Linked DNA regions of Schizosaccharomyces pombe. The gene in region 3 interacts genetically with the main gene of each other region. Each region holds a gene or a part of one and is shown on either strand. Other genes may lie near its edges.

The links.
Region 1: mutations in sfp1 (region 3) and mpc1 together harm fitness more than expected from each alone (negative genetic interaction), as found in Schizosaccharomyces pombe (one large-scale study listed by BioGRID).
Region 2: mutations in sfp1 (region 3) and cwf16 together harm fitness more than expected from each alone (negative genetic interaction), as found in Schizosaccharomyces pombe (one large-scale study listed by BioGRID).

The regions. Positions count from the first base shown.
Region 1 is NC_003421.2:198,542-202,283, reverse strand, and holds mpc1 (protein mpc1), read right to left. Parts: upstream 2,183-3,742; 5' UTR 2,155-2,182; coding exon 2,153-2,154; intron 2,113-2,152; coding exon 2,008-2,112; intron 1,920-2,007; coding exon 1,825-1,919; intron 1,642-1,824; coding exon 1,601-1,641; intron 1,535-1,600; coding exon 1,440-1,534; intron 1,385-1,439; coding exon 1,297-1,384; 3' UTR 659-1,296; downstream 1-658. Other genes in the region: mug146 (protein mug46), read left to right, coding at 1-512; sec6 (exocyst complex subunit Exo3), read left to right, coding at 2,968-3,005, 3,061-3,088, 3,151-3,255, 3,314-3,379, 3,454-3,742. UniProt on the Schizosaccharomyces pombe protein: Mediates the uptake of pyruvate into mitochondria.
Region 2 is NC_003424.3:1,488,053-1,491,570, forward strand, and holds cwf16 (splicing factor), read right to left. Parts: upstream 1,704-3,518; 5' UTR 1,531-1,703; coding exon 718-1,530; 3' UTR 558-717; downstream 1-557. Other genes in the region: F1-ATPase chaperone Atp12, read right to left, coding at 1-3; gpp74 (golgi phosphoprotein 3), read right to left, coding at 2,689-3,518.
Region 3 is NC_003424.3:4,432,717-4,436,474, forward strand, and holds the start of sfp1 (transcription factor Sfp1), read right to left. Parts: upstream 1,798-3,758; 5' UTR 917-1,797; coding exon 1-916. Other genes in the region: SPOM_SPAC9E9.01 (uncharacterized protein), read left to right, coding at 2,145-2,181, 2,223-2,485; SPOM_SPAC9E9.02 (uncharacterized protein), read right to left, coding at 2,901-3,197.

The DNA.
Region 1 (3,742 bases), on a different chromosome or scaffold from region 3:
AGCAAAGTGGAAGCGATCGCTATTCTTTAAAGTGCGATTCCGATACTGATTCTTCCACATATTTTGGAGATAGTGCTTCCGAGACATGCTCTTCAGCTTCAAATTCGTTATATAAGCAAACCGATTTAACTTCCTTGTGTATGTTTAATCAGAATAAAATTCAGACCGATTGGTCTTCTATAGATCCAATGGATAATGACAAAATTGTTTGTGCAGACTTTGAGAAAAATTTCAACATTTTAAAAGAGCTCTTAAACAACACAAAAGATAACGGCATTGATCAACAAATCGTGCATAAGGAGCACATCTCTCATCTTGAAAAAATTTGGAAAAATATCAATGAAGAATCATCAGAGGATCCTTCATTATTGTTGCTACGTTTGGAATTCTTGCTTACGGATTTACAAACAGCCATCCGTAAATACTCAGATACGGTGTCTACAAACTCTGTCAATGAAGCATTTTTTGATAAAATAAAAATAGAATTACAAGCATTTGGCGTTCTGGTGTAAAATATGTGAAAGCTATTCTGAACTTCCCGATCATGTTCACCTAACTTTAAAAATTTTGGTGATGAAATGCTTTGACCTTCAATTTTGTGATCACGTATTACCGTTGATCGTTTATATTTTGTTTAATTTTCTTTTTCACTAATGACCTCCCTAATTGTTAGTATTTTCGATTTCTTTTAAGCCTAACATCTAATATATCGGAATATTACACAAAATTAATTAAAAAAGTAATTGAAACTACTTTTCCTAGTAAAAGCTAGATTGTGTAACTGAACTTGCTCTTTTAAAAAGTGACTTTACCGTTATCAATATATTCAATAAATATTCAGTAACCGACAAATCAGAAAACTAGTACGCCATGGTGCTACCATATAATAGTGTTAATATTTTGTATTAAGAAGTACAGAATACTAGAAGCCACAATCATAAAAATATCGTTCCACGTGACAACTTTTGCCTGAAAACATATTGTTGATATTATCAAAACAATTTAGTTGTGCTTCCACAAAAAACAAGGATACGACGTCTCGGACCAGTAAAATAGAAAAAGACATTTTGTAAAAAGAAAAAAGAATGTACATTAACAAAATAATGACGGACTTCAAAATTTGCAAATCCTAAACTAAATAGGAAAAATGAATTTTTCCTATATTAGAGCAAGTAATAAACCGATAACACATATTTCTCAGGTTTGCTTATTTATACCCTTCCTTCGAATCAATTTTGTTAGAGCAAGTGACTTATCCGTTCACTCGTATTTTAAAGAATAAATACTTGACCCTTTTCACTTTTGACGAGTGCCACTTTCAGGATGTTTGGCTGCTTGCATGATGTTCTCGAAAACAGATTGTTTAGAAGCACCTTCTTTGCCACTAATTAAATAAGTCGTTAGTAAACAATAGAATAACAAAGTCTCAATACACATACTACCAAAAGTTGACGAAACGAATTCCTTGTGCCGTTTGAACAGTGGTATTAAAGGCATGGCATCCGAGTAATAAATAGTTACGTGGGCTTACCATCTAAACGCTAGTTAGTAAAAGTTCTATCAAATATTGGAGAAAGGAGTAAGATGATTCAAAACATACCCAGGCATAACGCATAAAGACGCTGGAATAGAGAATAAGTGCTAAGGAGATTAACAAAAAAGCAACTTTTAAACGATACAGAAAGTCATCTCGATAACTGCATTGACAACAGAGATAACCACGATCAGCGGAAAAAAGGAAACTAACTCCAATCTCTAAAAGAGCTTCCCCAAAACCGCATTGTCATGGCCAAGTTATTGATATGACTATTTTTTAACACATACCACCTGTCATGCGCCCAGAAATAAGCCTGGGATCCTTTTTCAAATCCAAAATAGCAGCAATAGGAATTCCAAAATTCGACAACGGACCCCAGAAGCTATCTTATTAGCAAAGAAATCTTTTAAACCATAAATAATATAAAAAAAACGAGAGATAGCAATCTTTAAACCTTTCCATCTACTTACTGAGTACTACATAAATATTTTCTGAAATCAGGGCTTTTCAACCAGGTAATAAACCTTCTTGTGACCGACTGAGCAGCCTTTTGGCTCAACTTTTCTGATGCATTCCTACAAAAAAATGTTAAAACTGTTTTTTTTAGTGACATACATTTTTAAAAAAATAATATAGGCTGTGGTTGGCTTGCCAAAGGCTTCAAATTACTAGCTTATTATCCTATTAGTGGAGCAGAAAAATCGGAGATTAGCTACAGTCTCTTAATGTTTATACCTCAATCAGTTGATGAATATTGGAAGATTATATAACAAATAATCTATTATATATATATTTTTTACTTTATCAGGAAAAAATCTCACTTTTTGAAGAAATCAGATACCGAAGCTTTACGTAATCCATTAATTCACATTATGAGCTTTATTAATTGGATGTTAAAAGAAAAGAAATTCCTGTTGATTTTTTGTCAATTAAGAAGTATACTGATTTCTGGGATTATAGGGAAGAAGGATGATTTCGAGACAAAGTATATATTATTACTTAAATGAGCCTCGTAGACGATTTGAACACTATAGGTAAATTCGAACAGGACCAATTATTTAAATTTTTGTAAAAAGGTATGCTAACTATTTTTGGATAACAAAAACAAAAAATTTGGCTAAATACTCATTTAAACCCTTGCTCAGATCTATACTATTCTATCAATCTATCATTTAAATATTATAAAAATAGAGCAATGCGAATATTTTCCTTACACCTTATTACGAGTGTGAATTTGATATTAAAATTTATGCTGTACAAACTTCTTAAATTAGTTAAGGAAGTTTGACGAGAGAATTATTTGTTTTACGGAAATGAATTGCAATGCTTTAAAGCTGCCTGCCTTTACAACCAGTCCGTAAATATATTAATCAATCTGTCAGTAAATAGAAACGTTTGTAAGCACTAGGTCTGCTTATAACTTTAAGAAAATGACCGCTGCCGCATCGGATGATGCTGTCTATAACAAGTAAGGATTATTTATCAAAATACCATTTATGAAACGATTACTCTAACTTTGTCAGGGTAGCGGATATTCTTAGACAATGTGAGGTAAGTGGTCCTTGTTAGGATGCTTGGAATTAAGATCGAAAGCTAACAATTGATGATTTTAGGATTTTCATCGATTATCTACTCATATTGAGCGATTTGAACGCGAGCAAGCGTCTCTTAATATGCATGTGAAAACGGAGCTCGAAAAGCACGTGGAAGCCGTTGAGGTTAGCACAAATATTAAATTAATGCGATAATTGTAATTGATCTAACTTACGTCTTTAGTTGGGGAAATTGGCACTGCATGATGCTCAAACGAAAAGAGTGAAGCTTCTTCAGGAATTGCATAACGTGAGTAAAGTCGAAGCTTAAGCTTTCTTGACATTTTCTAAAAGACTTTTTTACTAATGTTGATTTTTTTTTAGATGTTGACTTTATGTGAGAGTGCACGCGAGATGGTCGATGAATTTCCGTTAATCAGTCGCATGTCTCGGATATACAAAAATTGTTATGCAACAAAACAAATGATATCGCAGTTAAATAATTTAGTCAAGGAGACAGATGTAATAGAAGACATGTTGCGTGAAGATTTAGAACTTGACTCTGATATGCCAAATTTGTTACGCGCCCATTATAAACTTTCTAAGCTTCGAGAATTCCGTGAAGAAGCCCTATACCAGGCATCCCTTGAAGGCCAAAGTGATCTTCCAATTA
Region 2 (3,518 bases), 2.9 Mb from region 3:
CATCTTACAAAAATAGAAAAAAAAGGGTATTCAAGGTGTCTATCTGAGACACTAAAAAATCTTTCGTACTTCAAACTGCCAAAATTTAATTTTTAATTATTGTTTAAGAGTTAATTATTATGATATACGTTTTTAGTTGGTGTTCTCCAAAATATTGGTTACTATGTAAGATGAGTCTAACAATATTTTGTCACAGGCATGATGAGAATAAGTTTTAATATTTTTTTCTAAAAGTAGTTTTTAATTAAGCAAGAAAAAACTCTTTTAAAATAAATTAATAGACGTTCCTATCATAGTTCCTAAACCGTTGTTTACGTTAGCCGCCTTGAATTTAGCTACGATTAAGACTACTTTTTGACAAACCGTAAATGTAAATTGATAAATTACAATTAGATACTCGGAAAATTAGAAGGAACCTTAAAAAAAATCAATTAACATGTGCTGTTAAAAACTTAAAGTTGAAGAATAGATACAAACAAAATAAAACCTTTCTATAAATGCTACGGTATTATTCTACATAACAAACTACATTTACTAATCGAATAATAAAAATTAGAACAGGATATTGACTATCAACTCGCGTTATGAAAATCCATCAAAAACTCATTAAATATTATTACAATAAAAACCTTGCGCTGGTACAAAAGAACATGTACATTTTTAATAGCTTAGCTATAAAAAATGCAAGTAATTAAAAAATTTAGCCATTTATAGACGTTATACCAAAACCTTTTTCTTCTCCATTTTCCTTTTTGCATATTTTGGAGGCTGAAAATTCGGTATATTGGAAGTGGCCAGCTTCTCAGAAACCAAATCTATAGGTTTGGGTAATTCTTTTTCAACCGTTGTTTCTGCATTCAATCTTCTTATAATTTCACCATCCTGAGACGAAAACAACGATTTAGCTTCACGATCAATTTCTTCTTCCTCAAATTTCCGCTTTTTGGACTCCTCTTCTTCAATTGATCCATATGCATCTTCCTTTAAGAGAGCGATTGCATCATCAATGTTAACTCGAGACCTTCGAGCGCTCTTTTCACGTAGTTCGTCGAGTGCATCACTAATTTGCATTTGTCGTTTAGTGTCTAATGTTTTTTGTTCTAATTTTTCCATTTCGTCCTCCTCAGGAATGTCATTGCGTTCAGCTAACTCATTTTCTTCATATTCTTGTAATCTTTTTTCATGCCACGGCTCATAATTCCTGGAAGCTCCACTCTCTGCTGCATAATCTGCATGTTTTGGATCGGTTATAAATGTTATTTCAGCAGCACACCTAGTGCAGCGAATATAAAACCTCAATATATCAATTGAAAAATATTTTTCGCCGGTTTTCTCCTTCCTAGCGTTAAACTTTTTTCCTTTATATATATACTCTCCACAAGTATGACAGCGCATTGAAAATGGAGTCATCAAACGAACAGTCAATTTCCCACCATTTGGTCCTTGAAACTTTTTCTTTTTCTTAGGAGGACGAATGGAAGGATCATAATCGGGCGGGATATACTTGTTAAGTACCTTTCGTTCAGACATTGTTGGAAACTATGAAAAAAAAATGAAATGAACGTACGAGAATTGCTTTACCAAATTCAAAAAAAAAGAATAAATTAAAGTAAGGAAAATTTAACCGTCCTTTTGGGTTGGAATTATTTGACTTTACAGATGAATTTGAAAATGCTAGTTTTATGTGGATATGCGCTTTTTGTAAGCGAATGGCAAAAGTACTAGTACTATCTGTAGTTCTTTGACACTCGATACGTCGCGGTAATAAATTGAATGCGCACATAGCACTACGTAAACATATTTAGTACCATCCTTATATTTCCTTATACAATACCTGAGCTGAGCTATCGAGACGTGAGCAAGCGTTGTTTGTCAATCTTACACCTTCCGGTGTTTTAAGAGTACTTTAGATTCCCTTATAAATTGTGTATTATTTAAATGCTTCTGATTAATTTTGACTGATCAGTCTCCATAGTACTTTACGCTTACAGCAATAGACAATTAATGGGGTTGTTGGCATTAATGGCAGGAATAGATGATTTATATGAACTTGGTTAAAAATCGCTGTATTTCAGCTTATGTTCGTCTTAGTAAAGTTGATAGCAATGATCATAAGAAAACACCTGCTATATTAATTTATCATATGTTCATTTAAGTAAAGCTTGTGGAAGAACCCAAGTTTAAAATGGTTTAAAAGATAACTGTATAGTAATTACACAATTGTCATTTTTCGTTAGTTTAATAACTAAAGCTTTGTGAAAAGAAAGACTGACTTATATGTACGTATGTAAATCATTAAAACGAGAAGAAAATAGCTAACGATGTCCGCAACTGAAAAGAATGAAAGCTGACCCGGGATATTCTGAACAAATCTTTTTTAGCAGACAATATCGAAATGGGATTGCCTCCATATCGAGATAAAGTGTTCAACTGGAGAGAGTATATGTGGAAATGGTACCACCAATTTAATGAAAATTCAACTAGATAATGAAGCACCGATTGTTCAAAGTACTATTCTTACAACAACGAACAATTTGATTGAATTGACTTCTTTTAAAATAATACTCCAATTAAAAACAAACAAATTAAGCCGACATTAGCGATATAGAAGTCGGTATACGTTTGTTCATTAGTCTGAGTTGGAAATAACATAACTCAAACAACACCAACGAGTGATATGCTTGGCTATCAAAGTAAAGAATCTAAATGAGTGAAAACTTGAAGAACAGCAGCGACTACCTCAATGAAAAGTAGTTGCTCTTCCTTCACAGAGGAAAGTTCTTCGGAAATTAGCTCAGGCAAGTTAGCGCCAACTGACGAAGAAGCATGAAGATCAAAAGGCCATTGCGAAAAGTCACAGAGAAGCTCGTCTACGCGAGAAAATGCTTTTTCACGATCTTCATAGTTTAAATTGTCAAGAGCGTTTTCAAGAACATTAGCAGCGTATGAGGAACAAGCAAGGGCAACAGTGCGAAGGCAACGAAAAGACAAATATTCTGGGAAAGAAGGTGAATTATCAATTTCAATTACTCGTGAAGTAAGAACAGAGACCACTCTTTTTTTAATGGAATCTTTAATGGAGGTATCGGCAATGGGATGAGTTGGCATGTCGAAAAGTAAGAAATTCTTCTTCTCATTTCTTAAAATCCCTTTGTCAACAAGGCCCTTTGCCAACCGTTCGCGTACTTGTCTTAATTGATATCCAATCTTCATCACATTCCACGTTTCACCACTCATCAAATCAATCCAAGAGGTTACAGACATGAGTTCGCTAGTATGTATCATTTTAATAGCTTCGTCTAAAAGAACCTCACCTGTAAGTTTTTCATCAACCAACTCCACTACACGATCCGCTAACGGAAAGCGTTTACGATTAACGTCTTTTTGCATACGCAACTTTCCACGAAATGCGAGCTCCATTAGAATACATCCCCGAAGAGAATAAGAAATGCTGTCATTCCAAAAAGAAAGATAACCTTGCTTGTCTTTTAGACCCAATAACAATACCTCCTCCATCA
Region 3 (3,758 bases):
ATGGGGATGAGATTGCTGAGTTTGTGGCTGCGGGTGAAACTACTTCAGGAGTAGGAGACATGCTAGACTCTGTGAATTGATCGGCGGATGCGACAGATGGAGCAAATGAAAAAACATCGTGATCGTAATTGAATGGGGGAAGATATGTAGAGTCAACCATGTCCTTTTGATTGAACGCAAAAACATTATTGGCAGCGGACTCACCAACGTCAATAGACATGCTCATGTCACTGAGAGGGGAGCTTGCATCCATTACCAATGATTCAGGCATCTTTTTCGGGGTACCAGTTGTCTCTGCTTGACTACTGGCCTCGTCACTGCTCATGTCGGAGCTGGCAGCGGCAGCAGCAGCAGCAGCAGCGGCAGGTACGACAACGGAAACGCGGTAAGGGCCAGGAGCACCACCGTTAGCAGGAAAGGCAAATGGTAAAACAGCAGAATTATCAGAAATTTCAGAAGTTCCAAGCTGATCAGCAAGATCATGCATACGGATGCGCTCACGCTGTTTGAGCGCTTGAATATGAGAATGATTAGATTGAGCAGCGTTGTTGCTATCCAAAGAATATTCTTGAGGAACAGCAGAATCAGTTGCCAGAACGGCGTGCTGCTCTTCATAATGGTGAATAAGTTGATGCAAATCTTCGAGAGTTTGACCACAGCAGCGGAAATCACGGCAAAATGCTTCTTCTAACCGGTTTAGATAAGAGGTAGAATCCTCTTCGGGAATCGTTTGTGACTCAACCACGTTAGAAAGAGATGGAATAGTATCACGAAGCCAAGCTTGTCCACTAAAGCTATTTCCCCAAGACTGTGGACTCATTCCAAAAGAGGTAGCATGAATGCTGTTAAAGGAATTTCCGTTGTAGTTGACATTGTGATGGGAAGGCTTATTGATAGGCAATGCGAGAGATGGCATATTGAAAAGTTTTTAAGGGAATTAATAAAATTAAAGAGATAAAAGAGAAAATTAAAAGATAAACCGATAAATAGAAACCAAATTAAAAATTATATACCAATGATGAAAAAATAGAATAAAAATAACAAAATAATTTAGTAAGTTATTTTTTGAGAAATCAGGGAATAATGCACTTAGAAAACTCGACTTAAGGAAGGCAAGTTCTTAGAGAGCGCTGAGAGGGGTAAAAAAAGGCAATTAAAAAAAGACTGAATGTAAAATCTAATGAAATTCGACGAACTATAAATTCGAAAAAAAAAGGAAAAAGTTTCTAAAAGAAGAATTTACCAAGCAAAAAAATGAAGGTAAACTATTTTTAAGCACTAAATTACCCAAGTGTAATTAGTGTATTGTAATGTTTTAAGTGGAAACCCCAAAGTGACTTATCTAATTTTTTCAGTCTAAACAAATTGGCGATTAACGGATGATAAATGTATAATATAAATAAGATGAAAAGAAAGGGAGTAAAAACCTTTTAAAGAATCCTTTTTAATCAACAAAGAAAGTCAAGTAATAACGAATCGAGTCGAGGAAACTGTTCGATTCGACTTTTTTTTAAAATAAAGCGAAATAGTAAATAATTTACGCTTTGATTCAATGAACAATCGAGATCAATCGAAAAGAGTGGTGATACTTCAAAAGAGTAATCTTTTTTTTGCAGGCAACTAGTGGACGCAATATATGTTGCAAGCGAATTTTTTTTATAAATATGTTTAATTTTTTTTAAGTTGAATATATGGTATTCAACAACAATTCTATGATTGTACTAACTCCCTTAAGTTAAGTAAGTATATTTGCTTCTGCTTCCTTCGTGTCGTCCTCACGTTGAAGTTAGTCAGAATAAGGCGTTAAGAAGGGTAGGACGGTGTTTAAGTAGTAATTGATAAGGTGATTTAGCAAGCCTTCTCGTTACGTATGTATAAAGGTAACAAGGATAAAAGGGTCAAGTAACAGTGACGCCGACTATGCGAGCGAATAACAGTGAAGCTTTCAGACTTAAACACCTAATGAGGGGCCCTTAAATATAAGAAAGCCAATCAGAGTACACAGAGTGGATCGAACTTGGATCAAAGTAATTAGGGGTAACAATGCAACTTCGTCAGTGCCGTATCGGAAGGTCGTTACTTCCAATAGATGGGGCCGAAGACAAGGGGCGAATAGTTTCTAGACAAAGGGTCGCAAATGAACGATGGCGGATGGCTTGGAGCTCAGTGCAGAATTAAGCGGTACGCAGCTTAGCGTTATAGTGTCCTAATATACGGTCAAGTGCACACGGGTACAGTAACACACACAATCTTTGTTTATGTGTTTCTCGGAAAATCGAAGCGGCTAAAAACGTTTAGCGATTCAAATGTTGGTTCGGTAATCAAACTTGAGGCAGGGTTCGCAGTCTGGTCACGTTGTGAAGCAGCTAATGGGGAATGGATGGAGGCAGACAATGAAGATCGTTGTCGGTTATACCAAATTTACCGGGAAAGCAAACTCAAGGAATTTGCGAGATACAATGTCCTTTCAAGGGTTAATTGGTAAAGTAAACGACTATGAAATGAAAGAAATATCGTCGTTTAATTGAAATGGAGGAAGGATATTTCTCTTCTTTGTGCTAGTAAAGAGAAGACGGATATTTTTGGAAGAGATGTAAAAAGACAAGCAAACAAGAAAATGAAAATGGACGTCTAGCGATTTTACAAGAAAAAATTAGACGGGAAAAGGGAAAAGAAAAACTAAAGCTTATAGGAAATGGAGCTAAAAAAATATCTAGATAGAATAGCTTGCGAATGAAGAAAAAAACAAACTATCGTACAAGATAAACCAAATATATAAACCTTACAACAACCCAAAAGAAAATGATTGAAAGTAAGGTGAAGATCAGTAACTAACAAAGGAACAGAATGGAATAACAAGTATATAACTAAGTAAATAAATAAATAAAGAATCGGTATTATCACAGATAAATGAAAAGATAATACACACAACGATGAAGAGAATATAAAAAAAAAATTGTTTCGTTAGAATCAAAGGAAGTTTTTAACAGAACGGAGTTTTTTATTTTTTTTCGTAACCAAAAAAGACTTTTAGAAAAATTGCAAGGATTTAGAGCAATACTGATGATTTCATACAAACGATTGGAGAATGGGATGTATTGTATTGAAACCAATGAACTGAATCGAATCGTTAAGAGGAAATTTTTTTTTAATAAACAATGCAGTTTGTGTTTGGCATTAGCGAAATCCACATCCATTATATAGAAATGGAAAGTCAACGTCAAATGTCCAATCTATCAATTCTTCGTTTTCTTCCAGAAACTCTTAAGCATCATTTTCATTATTTAACAATCCCATCATTTGTCCACATATCCACCACACTTAGGTCAGTAGTTGAAAAGATGAAATTCGCAGGCATCACACTCAATACCAAAGGCAATGAATTTACAACGTTTTAATTACATTTCTCAGCAATCTTCTAGGGTTCTGGCCATTGGATAGTTTATGATGCTTCTATATCAAACACACTCTACCATGATGTCAAGGGCGCTGGCGCTATGGCAAGCGAAGGGATATGAACAAGGACCAAGATAAAAGTGATTCTGACTTGGTTCATGAATGAAAAACTACAGACAATTTGATAGGATTAATAATTGAAGAAAACGATAAAGAAATTCATACATCCCAAGGAGTAATCTATCGTCTATGAGAAAAAAATGAAAAAATGACATTAGTAAACAAGTGTCAAGAGAGTATGGGTCAACAACATCAAAACGACATTGTCGCATACAATTCAAGTGAGACAGATTCAATTCTTC